3 separate regions of the Mus musculus genome follow, and regions 2 and 3 are each reported to be linked to region 1. The links are microRNA targets in miRTarBase. Many come from high-throughput screens and were not tested one by one. Region 1 holds a microRNA gene; each other region holds the end of a gene's coding sequence.

Region 1 (4,068 bases):
AGCTGACCTCGAGCTCCTGGTGAGTGGAGTGCTCCCTCATGAGGAGGCTTCAGGGCCCGGCTCTCCCTATCCCGTCCGATCCCCATGGGCACCACTCGCTGTAGAGCTTGAGCCCTTTTTCCTGCCTTCCTGCCTTCCTGCCTGCCTGCCTGCCCGCCCGCCCGCCCGCCCGCCTGCCTGCCTGCCCGCCTGCCTGCCTGCCCGCCCGCCCGCCCGCCCGCCCGCCCGCCTGCCTGCCTGCCCGCCCGCCCGCCTGCCCGCCTGCCCGCCCGCCCGCCCGCCCGCCCGCCTGCCCGCCTGCCCGCCTGCCCGCCCGCCCGCCCGCCCGCCCGCCCGCCCGCCCGCCCGCCTGCCTGCCTGCCTGCCTGCCCGCCCGCCCGCCCGCCTTCCTGCCTTCCTGCCCGCCTGCCCGCCTGCCTTCCTGCCTGCCTGCCCGCCTGCCCGCCTGCCCGCCTGCCCGCCTGCCCTCCTGCCCGCCTGCCCGCCTGCCCGCCCGCCCGCCCGCCCGCCTGCCTGCCCGCCCGCCTGCCTGCCTGCCTGCCTGCCTGCCGGTGAGGCATGGCAGCACAGTCTCTACGAGACTTTGTCTCTGTCATGTCTCATCTTAGAAAAAAAATAGTATACTTTTAAATTTTTTACTTTTTAAGACCTAAAGTCTCATATCCCCCAAGGCAAACCTCCAACTCATAATCCCCCTGCCTGAGTGCTGGGATTATAACGATGTGTACCAGCTGTACTGCTTTCAGGAAATTTTAATTGTTGCGTATAACTGTATAGATTTATGGGGCTCAGGGTGAAGTTTCACACACATATACTCTGTGTGCTCATCACAGGAGGACCCCAGCATATGTGTCTCCTCCAGCATTTATCTCTTCATGAGACATTAAAAGGCTTCTCTTATGTCCAAAATATATACTGGGGTTGACTGTATGTAGTTGGCCTACTGTACAACAGAATACGGGACAGTTGGCTTACTGTGGAACAGAACACCGGGATGCTGTCTTCCTCCCCGCCTGGAACTTGGAATTCACTGACAAAACCTCCCTCCCCACAGATCTCCTTTCTAAAATGGCGTGAGACATAGACACACACAGACAGACAAAACTGAGGGCCACACTAACAATTTATGTAGATCAAAATAACACACACACAAACCAGAACCGGAGTTTGAAAACTGAGAATGATTTGAACGGATGGAGCAGGGGGTGGGGAGGGACATAAGAAACAGGAGCAGCTATGCGTGTGTGTGTGTGTGTGTGTGTGTGTGTACACAGACGAGAGAGCTGAGGGGGAAATGGATGGGAGAGCAAAGCTTCATTAGACCCGAGAGGCAGGCGGCGGCAGTATACCAAGGTCACTTCTAATTTAGACCATCTAATTGGCAAACAGGCTCCAAATGGCTATCATCTCGCAGGGCTTGGAATTAATGAAGCCCGATTATTTTCATTACCTTCCTCTGAGATGGACACAAAGTGAAAGAGCTGATATGCAGGTGGGTGTGACAGCCTCGGGGGCCAGGGGGAGCACAAGAGCCCCCTTGTGGGGGAGGGGGAGGAGGAAGCCTGCCCCTGAGGTCCACACATACATAGAGCAGAGAGAGAGGGAGAGGGGAAGAGGGAGAGAGGGAGAGGGGAAGAAGGGGAGAGGGAGAGAGAGTGGGGGAAGAGAGAGAGAGGGAGGGAGGGAGGGAGGGGGAGAGAGAGAGAGAGAGAGAGAGTCATAGACTGGTGTTTAAAGAACACAGGAGACTATACTATTGTCCCCCCAAAGAGAGGCTGAGAGAAAACCACAGGCAAGGCAGAAAGTGGGGGAGAGGGGCACAGGAGCACAGGAGGGCATCTGGGTGCCTATGAAATAATAAAAAGGAGTAATTGTGGGCCAGAAAAGAGGAGGAAGAGGAAAGGCTACAGAAAAAGGTGCTCTTGGCTCAGCCTCATTTCAGCTGTGAGGTCCCATTTTGTTAAGTGATTAAAGAACAAAGAAAATGTCCCCAAATTAATGATCTAGGATCCCGGTGGTATGTCCTGTCACTTAGAAGACACTGATCAATTAGAATAATTTAAGAGTATTGAAACGCATGGTGGGTGGTCTTTCCCATTCTTACTGAGGAGCCGAGGAGAAACACGTGTCCCTGGGCCCTCATCCTTCCCCCCAAATCCAGGGACAGAGTGGAAGCACCAACATTTCCCCCAATCTAAAGCCTTGGCTTGTCTGGAAATAAGACTTAGGTATTTGAGATCAACATGGTGGAGGGGGGACTGGCCAGCCGAGTGTGGAGGTGAGCCTGTCTCACTGCCCCAAAGCTTTAGAGACTTCCTCTTTTATGTGACACGTGTAGAAAGAAATGTGGTCTGAGTTGTTTCCAGCAAGTGTGGAGGGTGCTGCTTCCACGGTCGATGGCCAGCGCTGCAAATCCTGCCAATGAAGAGCATTTTTTTCAAGCCCCCTCATCGGTAAAAAGAAGGGGACCCATGGAAGACATAGATATGAGATGCAGAGCATAAGCAGCCGTTACCATAGCAACAGACGTATTAGACCCTGCAGGTTCCTGAAAGCTGTCTGATAAGGTATTATTAAATGAAGCCTCCTCAAAAAAAAAAAAAAAAAAAAAAAAAAAAAAAAAAAAGCTCTCCATTTACAACGGAAAGGAAAGACACTGCGTAAAAAGTAATCTATTTCCATTTATCAAGGCGGAATTTACTTTCAGATGGACTGAAATCCAATACTGGCCACTTCCTTGAGACTCTAGACCTAGACGCCGAAATAAAAAAATTCTCCGGAACGTCTAGCTTTAGAGACCCTGGTTGTGTCTCACGTCCAGCCGGGATCACGGATCTGGGAACCTTTGGCAGCGTTTTCTGTCCCTCAGCCAAAGCCACCTGCCTGGGCCACTCTGCCATTTGCCTTGCCATTCAGGATCCCAGGAGACAGGACTTGAGCCTCTCAGAGGTTGAATGGCCACTGGCTACTCCTCATGACGAAGCAGAGGAAGAAAGGCTTTGGTTAGGAGTTATCTTCATCAGATTGCTTTTAGAGCTCTCCGCTGCACTTGGCTAAGCACAAACAGATAAACTGTCAGAAAGCCTAACCAACACTTTCCCGGGGCCAATTTTCTAATAAAATTACTGTAAAATGCCCTTCGGGGACACGGTTTCAGCCACAGGCTCATTAACATCACTTAGTTGTACAACAATTGTGAATTCCATTTTAACACCAAACTTTTCCAAAGAACAGCCCTGGCATCTGACCAAGATTAGGCGTCTAGGCATCAAAGAGGATCTGGGGGTTTACCCTAGAGAGTGGCTGCACAAAGCTGTTTTGAATGGAGAAGGAAATACATCACTTGCAAAACTGGCCTCGTGACTAGAAGGACCAGTTCTGTGGGACAGTCACCACGCCAGTTTCCCAGGTAGAGAGCTATGTGGTGCATGAAAGCCCCTCACACCATCTGTGAAGTTCAGAGGAGCGCTTAAAACACACCACTCACGCGTCATCCCTACTTTCAACTCCCCGATTTGCAATCTAGTAGCTCGCTGATACTAGCAAGCTGGTTTCCTGGAACCAGCACTTTTACAGCTTGTACACTTCTCAGAGACGGCTAGACAACATCTCTACTATCTGTGGAAAGATGAGGCCTGTGGGGTTTCTGTGCGGAGCAAAGTGCAGGACCTTCAGGGAGTGGCTGCTTCTTGCGTAATCTCTCTGCTAGGGGTTCAAGAACAAGCTTATCACCGTCCTCCCAATGTGTGGGGTGCTCCCTGGTACCTTCGACAGGCATGTCTGGCTCTGGACACTGCTCCAGGGAAGGTTCATGGCCTTGGCTCTGTTTTCTGGGGTCTTTAAAAGGTGGGAAATCACTTCTTCACAAAGTGCTATTTAGTGAGGTCACTTCCAGAAATACCTTAGGGATTGGGACCCAAGCAAATGCCATGGCAACAACCTGTTCCTGAGGACTCCGCTGGCCAAAGGTTCATGGTGAAAATTATCACTTGAAATTCGCCTCTTTGGTTCTAGTGATAAAAAAAAAAAAAAAACGTGATGGCCTGAGCTGGTGGTAGCGGTGAACGC
Region 2 (4,068 bases), not on the chromosome of region 1:
GAGCTTTTGAGTTTGAGGCCAGCCTGGTCTACAGAGTGAGTTCCAGGACAGCCAGGGCTACACAGAGAAACCCTGTGTCAAAAAAACAAACCAAAACAATTTTTTTTAAAGAAATAACTGATAAAGGCCACTTTCTTCATCTTATATTTAAGTCACTTAAATGAATAAGATATGGTTGTTCGGAGAATGCTATGAAATCCTTCTTTAATTTGAATGTATCTTCTTTCACTTAATCAGACAGCAGATAGTCCTTTTAAAATAAAAGTTTATTTCATTCATTATTTTTGATATTTAAGGAAACAATGTAAATTGGAAAATAAAAAATATATTTTATAGTATCAAAAAGCATTTTAATCCAAGACCCAATAAAAATCTTAGATGCCCCAGTACAGGGGAACGGCAGGGCCAAAAAGGGGGAATGGGTGGGTAGGGGATTGGGGGGGTGGATATGGGGGACCTTTGGGATAGCATTGAAAATGTAAACGAGGAAAATACCTAATAAAAAAAATTAAAAAAAAAATCTTGAGATTCCGCGTGCTTTGGGAAAAATGAAAGTTTCCTTTCACATAGCAAGGAGGAAAAGCAATGTTTTATTGACAGTACTTTTTTAAATGAAGAAATAAATCTTTTACAAAGTTTTCAGTTTTCACAAAGCCTGCATTTCAGAATATAACAAGACAAAAAAGTCAGGATTTATAACTTGATATAGAGTTGAACCTTCTCATATGGTAGGTCATCACCTTAGTGAATGAACAGGAGTTCTGATCCTGTCCTTGTGCTTCACATGAGAAATATGCAAACACTGTACATTTCCAATTGGTTTGGAGACTAATACAGTATTTAGGTTAATCAAGTCAACATCATCCAAACCAATAAATGATTAGAAAAAAAATGAAAGTCACCACATAGAGTAACTGTTAATAATTAAATCAAAGTTAGGTGGCTGTGATGGCACCACCTGACTGAGGAGGAACGTACAATTGCTACTTAACTCAAAGAAGTGTGAGGCTTCTGTACTGCAACCCGGGGATGAGGTCAAACTAACAAAATCCTTGGCTAATGATGAGTATTTAATAAATATCTGACGTTTCTTTCTATAACATAGTTCTCGGTAGTTCATTGTTACAGCACTCTGCAGTTGGTTTATTGTTCAAGAGAGTTTTAGGATTAGATTATAGACACAGGGTTGGGGAGGAACCTGCCTAACATGCATCAGACCCTGGATTAGATCCCCACAAACAATGTAAGACTTGTTGCTGGGCATGGCCGCCAATGCCCAGGAGATTAGGCAGATGATTGCTAAGAGTTGACTTTGAGGTTAGTCTCAAAACCAAATGAAGACAAAGAAGCTCTAATCAGGAATTACTGAGTTCCTAATTAGTTATCACCTATTAGAAAATACTAGAAAAACACCTAAGAAATGACTGTTTCAACTTTACTTTCCCACTTCATACAAAAGGCCAGTAAAAGCAACACCAAGATTATCTACAAAGAGCTCATGCTTATCGTCTCAAGGACCCCAGTTCTGTGTTCTGGAACCACACCCAGGGCTCTGCACGCCAGGCAAGCATCTTAACAGTGAGCTATACCCCTAGCCTGGATGTCCAGGGTTTCATCCAGTTAAACGTGGTGGGAGTCTTTGTCACCACATTACTTTTCTACTTTCTCCAGTTTGGGATACTGAAGGTCACTTGTCATTATAATTACACGAGTCACCCTGAGAATGAGACTGTTCCCTTTCTGTCTCATAAACCACGGAGTTCCTCTCTCTCTGACTAGACTGGGTTCCTTGTCACTGGACTTCACAGCACTTAGCACTCTTGAACTTACATGACATTTGGCTACTGTATTCCCTGCTAGTCTGTAGGCATTGGCAGGGCCTGTCCTAATCTGGGCCTGTTTACTAATAGTGCTTTGTTAGAGAAGTTTCTAATAAATACTAGCTGAAGGATTAAATACATAAACACTGTCTGCTGTTCGTGGAATCTCTGGGGAAGAGGCTCAGCAATCTTTGTTAAAAAAAAAAAAAGGCAGATATGATGGCCTACACTTTTAATCCCATTGAGAGACAGAAGCAGGCAGTTCTCTATGAGTTCAAGGCCAGCCTGTCTACAATAGCAAGCTCCGAGATGGTCAAGACTACAAATAGACCCTGTCTCAAAAAAGAAAAAAAGAAAGAAGCTCCCATCATATGAGAATAGAAGCAATTCTTTCATAGTATCCCAACCCTCAACTTTAGTGTCTTGCGATGACTTGGCGTTTAGGCACAGAAGCCTCCCCACAACCCCTGTTGCTACCTATTAAAAAAAAGATTATACAGGCAAGTGAGACTCCTTAGAGCCCACTTGATCTTAGACACGAACGTTCATTTTCACCTCCGTAATGAAGGTAAATAGTCCCTACCTCAGCCAGTTAGTGTGGGCATTGTACAAACAAAGTGCTCGCTACACAAGAGCTGTGTTAGCTGTTGCTGCCATCTGCACGTCACAACAGTCACCAACCATGCTGTCTCCCACATGGAAATACTGCTACTGACCAATCACCAAGGCACAGTCAGAAGGGTTTCTTCTGGGGAGAAGCAGCAGGCCGGCCGGCCTCTCTCCTGTAAGACCAATGGTTTTTAGGAAAGCCTCATATTTTGGTCTCAAAATACACTGTGTGGCTGTTATTCATTACCTACGGCCACAGGAAGACACATCTCTTTTTCTACTAATATAGTTTTAAGACAGACTGGAGATCTTTTAGCCCAGGAAGAGGTTATAGAAATTTTCAGAAAAGAAATCTCAGTGGAAATTAAACCACATTACTTTTCATATATTTAAAAATTCCATTTAACCAATTTAAAATGCATACTAAAATACTTTCTAGTGTTTGATAGCTAGTGAATTTGAAGAAGGAAAATAAAACACTTCTCCATTACTATGACCTGCTTCTTGCAAAAGCAGTATTAATCCATGAAGCCAAGATTCTCTGAATGGACACCTAGCACAGATTTTGAGCCCATCCTGCCTTCAGCTCACCATACTCAGAAGAAATGTCCAACAGGAATCTTTACAGAACATCTCTAAAGTGCCAGATGTGCCTTAAGTTTACAACATGTAATTTAAAATGAAATACAATGCAAATGAATATTTATCCCTTTTGCAGGTTTAAACAACAGTACAGGTATGTCAAAAACCTACAAGAAATTAATCCTTTTCCATTCTCAAGGATTCAAATTATAAAGCTAATTAAGAAGCCATCTACTAGAAAGGCTGTTTTTAAGAATAAAGAGTAAATTGTGGAAATTCTCAAAACGATGTGTGTTGGCAAAATTAAATAAGCTCCCATCTCCGGGTGACTGCGCTGGGGAATCACAGTTCCAGCTGCTGCTGGAGAGCATGGATGGAGGATGCACTGGCCTGGAGTGTCCCAGTCACTGTGTCTTCTCCTGCTTTGGTTTTGATGACTTCGGATACCCCACCGGTTCCCAGGATGCATGGCAAACTTAAAAATACTTCATTATCTAAACCATAATATCCCTGAAATGAAAAAGATGGGATTATAATAAAGCTGAATTACTACAAAAAAAATTAAACTTATAGGGCTGGAGAGATGGCTGAGCAGTTCAGAGTGTGCTGCTCTTTCAGGACAGTCTTTCCCAGACCCATGTCAGGCCGCCCATAACTCCAGCTTCAGGGGATCCCAAGTGAGGCAGTTCACAGCCGCCTATAACTCTAGCTTTGGGGATCCCACAGTCTTTAGAGTTCATGGGCACCTGCACTCATACAAGCAACCACTGCCATATACACAATTAAAAATAATAAAAAACAAAAAATTAAAGATAAAAGAATTCTTTCTTGTTTTTTTTTAGTTCTAGTACAAAGTGATACAAGTTAAATTTGATTTGTTTACTGATTTTTCTAAACTCAAGTTATAGCTTCAGGAAACATCTGAGATGGGAGGAGCCTGGTCAAAGATACCCTCTTTGCATAGAGGTAAACTGCCTTTCTGTAGTAAGGTCAGCAGTCTGAAGGCTAATCCAGAGGTGGACAGTAGAGTCCTTGTGGAAAGACTGCATGGATTCTG
Region 3 (4,068 bases), not on the chromosome of region 1:
GGAACCAATCTAACCTAAAACTGATAAAGACCAGCTGCTTCTGCCTTCTGCTTGAACTAAAGGCATGTGCTCTACTCCAGCCTCATGTTTTTCTACAGTGCTAAATAATAAGCCCTATTGATTGGATTTTATTTAGAGTAATTGCTTTTCTCTTTCTATAAATTCCAACTATTTTTTCATGTAATTTACAGTGATGTACCAAATGGATCAGCCTTGACACAAGAGAATCTCAGCCTCCTATCAAACAAGACCAGCTCTTTGAATCTGTCAGAAGACTCTGAGGGAGGAGGAGATAACAATGATTCCCAGAGATCAGGAGTTGTTTCCAATTCTGCTCCCTAGAATATGGGCACCTGCTTCTACCTTCTGCTCCTAATCAGTTCATGGGGCATAGGGATAGAAAAATGGATAACTTCTAAACTTTTTCTCTGAGTGGTCAGTGAAGTCCAGGAAAAGCACCGGAGGCAATGTGCACAAACACCACTACTAAACAAACCTGCACATAGTTCACATTGATGCATTTTTTTAATTTTAAGAAAAAAAAATTAGCAGTATCTGCAAGCAATTCAGATTAAATTTGTTTTTGTTCTGTGAATGAACTTTATTTTAATAACTTTGGACGCCTTGGATCCGGGGCTTTAAAAAAAAAGAAGATATTATATATACACTCTGTTTGATTAATTGTATGATCTTAATGAAGTAGGTTTTTCTTGTATTTTGGTATTATTACATACCCAGTGTATAATTCCTTTTCCCCAGTCCTTTCCAACTCTCACAACCCTGTAAACTAAAATAGACAAAAATGCACCGTTTCCAAGAATTCTGTGGTAATAGATTGGGTTATTAGAAACTGTGCAGCAAACTAATTTTATTAGAGCTATTCTTTAACCCCAGCCCTGTTTCTGGATCACTAGCTCTGTGGATAGATACTTGTTTTTTACAACATTAAAAGTTTATTTGAGTGGATATGGTTTTAGTTTCAACTTTTCAGAGATGTCAACATGCAGTTGATTGTTTGAGCCACATTTTGGTGTCAAGCATTCCTTGCATTATCTCCTTAAAATCTGAAAGCCTATTTAGTGTTTACAATGTTTAGTTAGATTTAAATGAAGATTATTTTATTTTAAGAATGAACTCTGAATTGGATATAATGGCTCATTCCTGTAATCCCTGGCCTCAAGATGTTGAGGCAGGAAAAAACAGAATAAGAAGAAAAGAAATGAACTTCAGCTTGTTAATAGTGAAAATAGGCATTTCCTGTTCTCCTATGTGGAGCTCATGTTGGAAAATTCGAGCTGTGTTTACAAATTAAACTTGTCTTGAAACCCTAGAATAGAAAAACCAGGACAGTGAACCATACTCTAAAGCTGGGAGCCGGCTCAGCAGAAGAGCACCGGCTGCTCTCCCGGGTTCTTGGCAGCACCTGCAGGGTGTCTCCCAGTTCCACTTTCAGGGACATGACACCCTTTTCTGGCCCTTGTGGACACCAGACACAATGAAGAAAATTTTTTAATTAAAATAAAACTTAACACTCGATAGGAGCTTCAGTAAACAAGGACATATTATTTCAATGGAATTTTTGTTTTCCTTTCAAAAGCGTTAAAGATTTGGCAGATAGAAACTGACTGAGTCTTCAGGGTAGTTCATGCTTTGGTCACTTGTCAGTAATCAGAATTACTAGAATAACTATAAATAACTTGAAGTGAGTTTTTATAGACCTGGCTTTCTGACATTAAAAATGTTTATGAAAAAGTTGAAGAGTGAGGAAGAATTTTTATTTAGTTCTGCTGCACATATTCTAATGCTAACCACTGTTTGCTTAATTTACTAAGCCCCTCTAAAATGAGTTCAGCAAGGCAATGTTTCGTAGAATCACTCCATCCCTCTGATTGCCTGACGTCAGTTTCCCTTTCTAGATGATGCTACAAAACAAGAAAGCACTGGTTATGTAATAAGTTACTGCATTGCTTTGGTTGGGTAAAAGCAAACGTTTATATTTTTCTTATTTCTATTTCCTGAACCCTTAACTCTGCTGAGGTCTGCGTCACCTCAGTCTAAGCTCTGTGTCCATCATCTTGTTAATTGAAACAAGTGGGTGGGGGTGGGATAAGAGTGGGAGGGGTGGGAAGGGAAAAATAGTCCTGCCATTGCCTACCAGTAGGAAATCCAAACAGAACACTCATTTGAGTAGCGATTATTTAATTTGCCCAGTCAAGGCACCGTGTTTATATACTATTTCACATTGAATTTGATTATGCCCTACAGACCTGGCTGGTCAAGGATTTGATATACACATATTGGCTTGGGATTCGAGCTTTCTTTTTTATTTAAATAAAAATTTATATATATATTATATATATACATATATACATGGCTATATCTGTATATATATCGGGTATGTTTTAAAGATTTCTTCGCATGAGCGCAGCTGTTGCAATAAGATGACTGATTGGGAGGTAGAGGCACCGAATGACGGTGAGGCATTTCTCAGTTGATGCATACATTTTCCTTTTAATTTTAAATACACATTTGTACATTTGCTTTTTTTGGACTTTTTTTTTTAAGATAAAATGACTCTTACATTTATACTTTACTCATTATTTATTGAGATGAGGAGAGAAATGTTATGCCTGACAGGATTTTTATTTTTCTGCATATCTATAAAACGCCACATTATTGGCCTCTTGCCTTCAGTAGACAGATTTGGGTGGGTCTTACCTCCTTTGGACATTTCAAGATAATTCCTAAGTCTTAGAAGCAGATGGGTTTTTGTTGTTGTTGTTTTTAAAATTGGAATAACTAGGGGGAAATCTGCATATTGGTTTTCTTGGAGTTAAGAATAAAAGTAAATTTTCATTGTAGTGTGTATGAGACCCCCAAAATGTACTCTGCTGCGGTGCACTAGTATCCTTTTAGGTATATTTTTATTTAGGGAGAAAATTAGTCTTTTAAATGGTAGTATGAGTTCCCCAAGCCCCTCTCTATAGCCAGTCTGGGTTGGGTAGAAAGTGAAAGACTGTGCCTACAATTTTGCTATTTAGTCATTTTCCCTTACCAATTTTTAGGTGGGGTTTTTTGGGGAGCAGGGGGTAGGCAGTATTGTTTGTGCCCACTGGCAGGTTTAGGGATTCAATAAAAACTCTCATAACTTTGAGGGGTTTTTCTCCCCTTAACAAAGTCAATGTTATGAGACAACAATAAATTGAAGCATAACTTCATGACTCTTAACTGCTGTTTTTATTAAAATATGAAAACCATTGATTTTTATTTGTGTCTTTAGAGACATTAAAAAAAGGAAGCCCATCAAATAGGAAGCAGAGCTTCTGCACCACCAGCCCTGCCCTTTTAAGACAGTCTTAGCAGATAGCCCATACTGGTTCTGACTCGAGACCCTGCGCCAGCCTTGTGAGCGAGCACTGGAAGAATGTCAAGCATGTGCCGCCATGCTCAGCATACTCAGCAATGGGTATGGCTTTTCACTGAAATGGTTTCTTCTGAAGGTGATTACTTTTTACTGTATCCAAGAGCAAGAATCATCTCAGATGAAACAGACAATTCTGGAAGGGTTATGCAGCAGCATATTCATACTTGTTCAGAAACAACGCCAGTATGTTAGCTGTCGTGAATAAAAAGTACTTAGGCTCAGTCTGTTTTCCGTGAGTCTCTGGAACATGATGGAGGAACTGAGAATGGGGTATCTAGACTCAGTTTCCTGTTGATAGTAGGAGTCTGAATGTGACCAAAGAGCCATTCCTTACTACTTTTCTACTTAAACAGAACTTGTACCATAGGTTTCTGGTAGTGATGTTCAAATGACGTCAATGTTTAAGACACTATTATTAGTAATTACAAATATTCACCTACTCAGAATGTGTAAGAGCTTGTTTGGCACGTACGGCATTAATGTGGGTCATTCCTTCTCTCATCTTCCTTCCCTTGTGGTTTTCCCATGTATTTATTCTTTTGCCTAACAGCAGAAGATGGATACAATTCTCACGTGCTACTTGGATACATGATCCCATCAGACTCCCATGAGCTTGAGTGTGGGAGCTTGAAATTTAGTTCCTA

Evidence for each region. Region 1 holds the annotated microRNA mmu-miR-3108-5p (GUCUCUAAAGCUAGACGUUCCGG, at 2,777-2,799, opposite strand). A microRNA usually pairs through its seed, bases 2 to 8, with sites in the 3' UTR of a target mRNA and lowers its output. Matches are read on the target gene's strand: a 7mer-m8 pairs with bases 2 to 8, a 7mer-A1 pairs with bases 2 to 7 and ends in A, and an 8mer does both.
Region 2: the mRNA of Uevld is a reported target of mmu-miR-3108-5p. Seed matches in the 3' UTR shown: 7mer-m8 at 3,062-3,068 and 7mer-A1 at 2,083-2,089.
Region 3: the mRNA of Rc3h1 is a reported target of mmu-miR-3108-5p. Seed matches in the 3' UTR shown: 7mer-m8 at 3,277-3,283.

What each region holds. Positions count from the first base shown.
Region 1 is chr8:108,935,601-108,939,668 of GRCm38, reverse strand. It overlaps Mir3108 (microRNA 3108), which reads right to left and starts at 2,809; the gene lies at 2,731-2,809. The region is part of intron 7 of Zfhx3 (zinc finger homeobox 3); the gene reads right to left.
Region 2 is chr7:46,922,968-46,927,035 of GRCm38, forward strand. It overlaps Uevld (UEV and lactate/malate dehyrogenase domains), which reads right to left. Exons shown (of 12, transcript NM_001040695.1): 12 at 249-3,521. The coding sequence ends at 3,354. It also overlaps a transcript of Tsg101 not described here. Among named protein-coding and RNA genes, the nearest start is that of Tsg101, 5.0 kb to the left of the region's middle.
Region 3 is chr1:160,967,456-160,971,523 of GRCm38, forward strand. Rc3h1 (RING CCCH (C3H) domains 1) reads left to right here. Exons shown (of 20, transcript NM_001024952.2): 20 at 192-4,068. The coding sequence ends at 342. Among named protein-coding and RNA genes, the nearest start is that of Serpinc1, 9.1 kb to the right of the region's middle.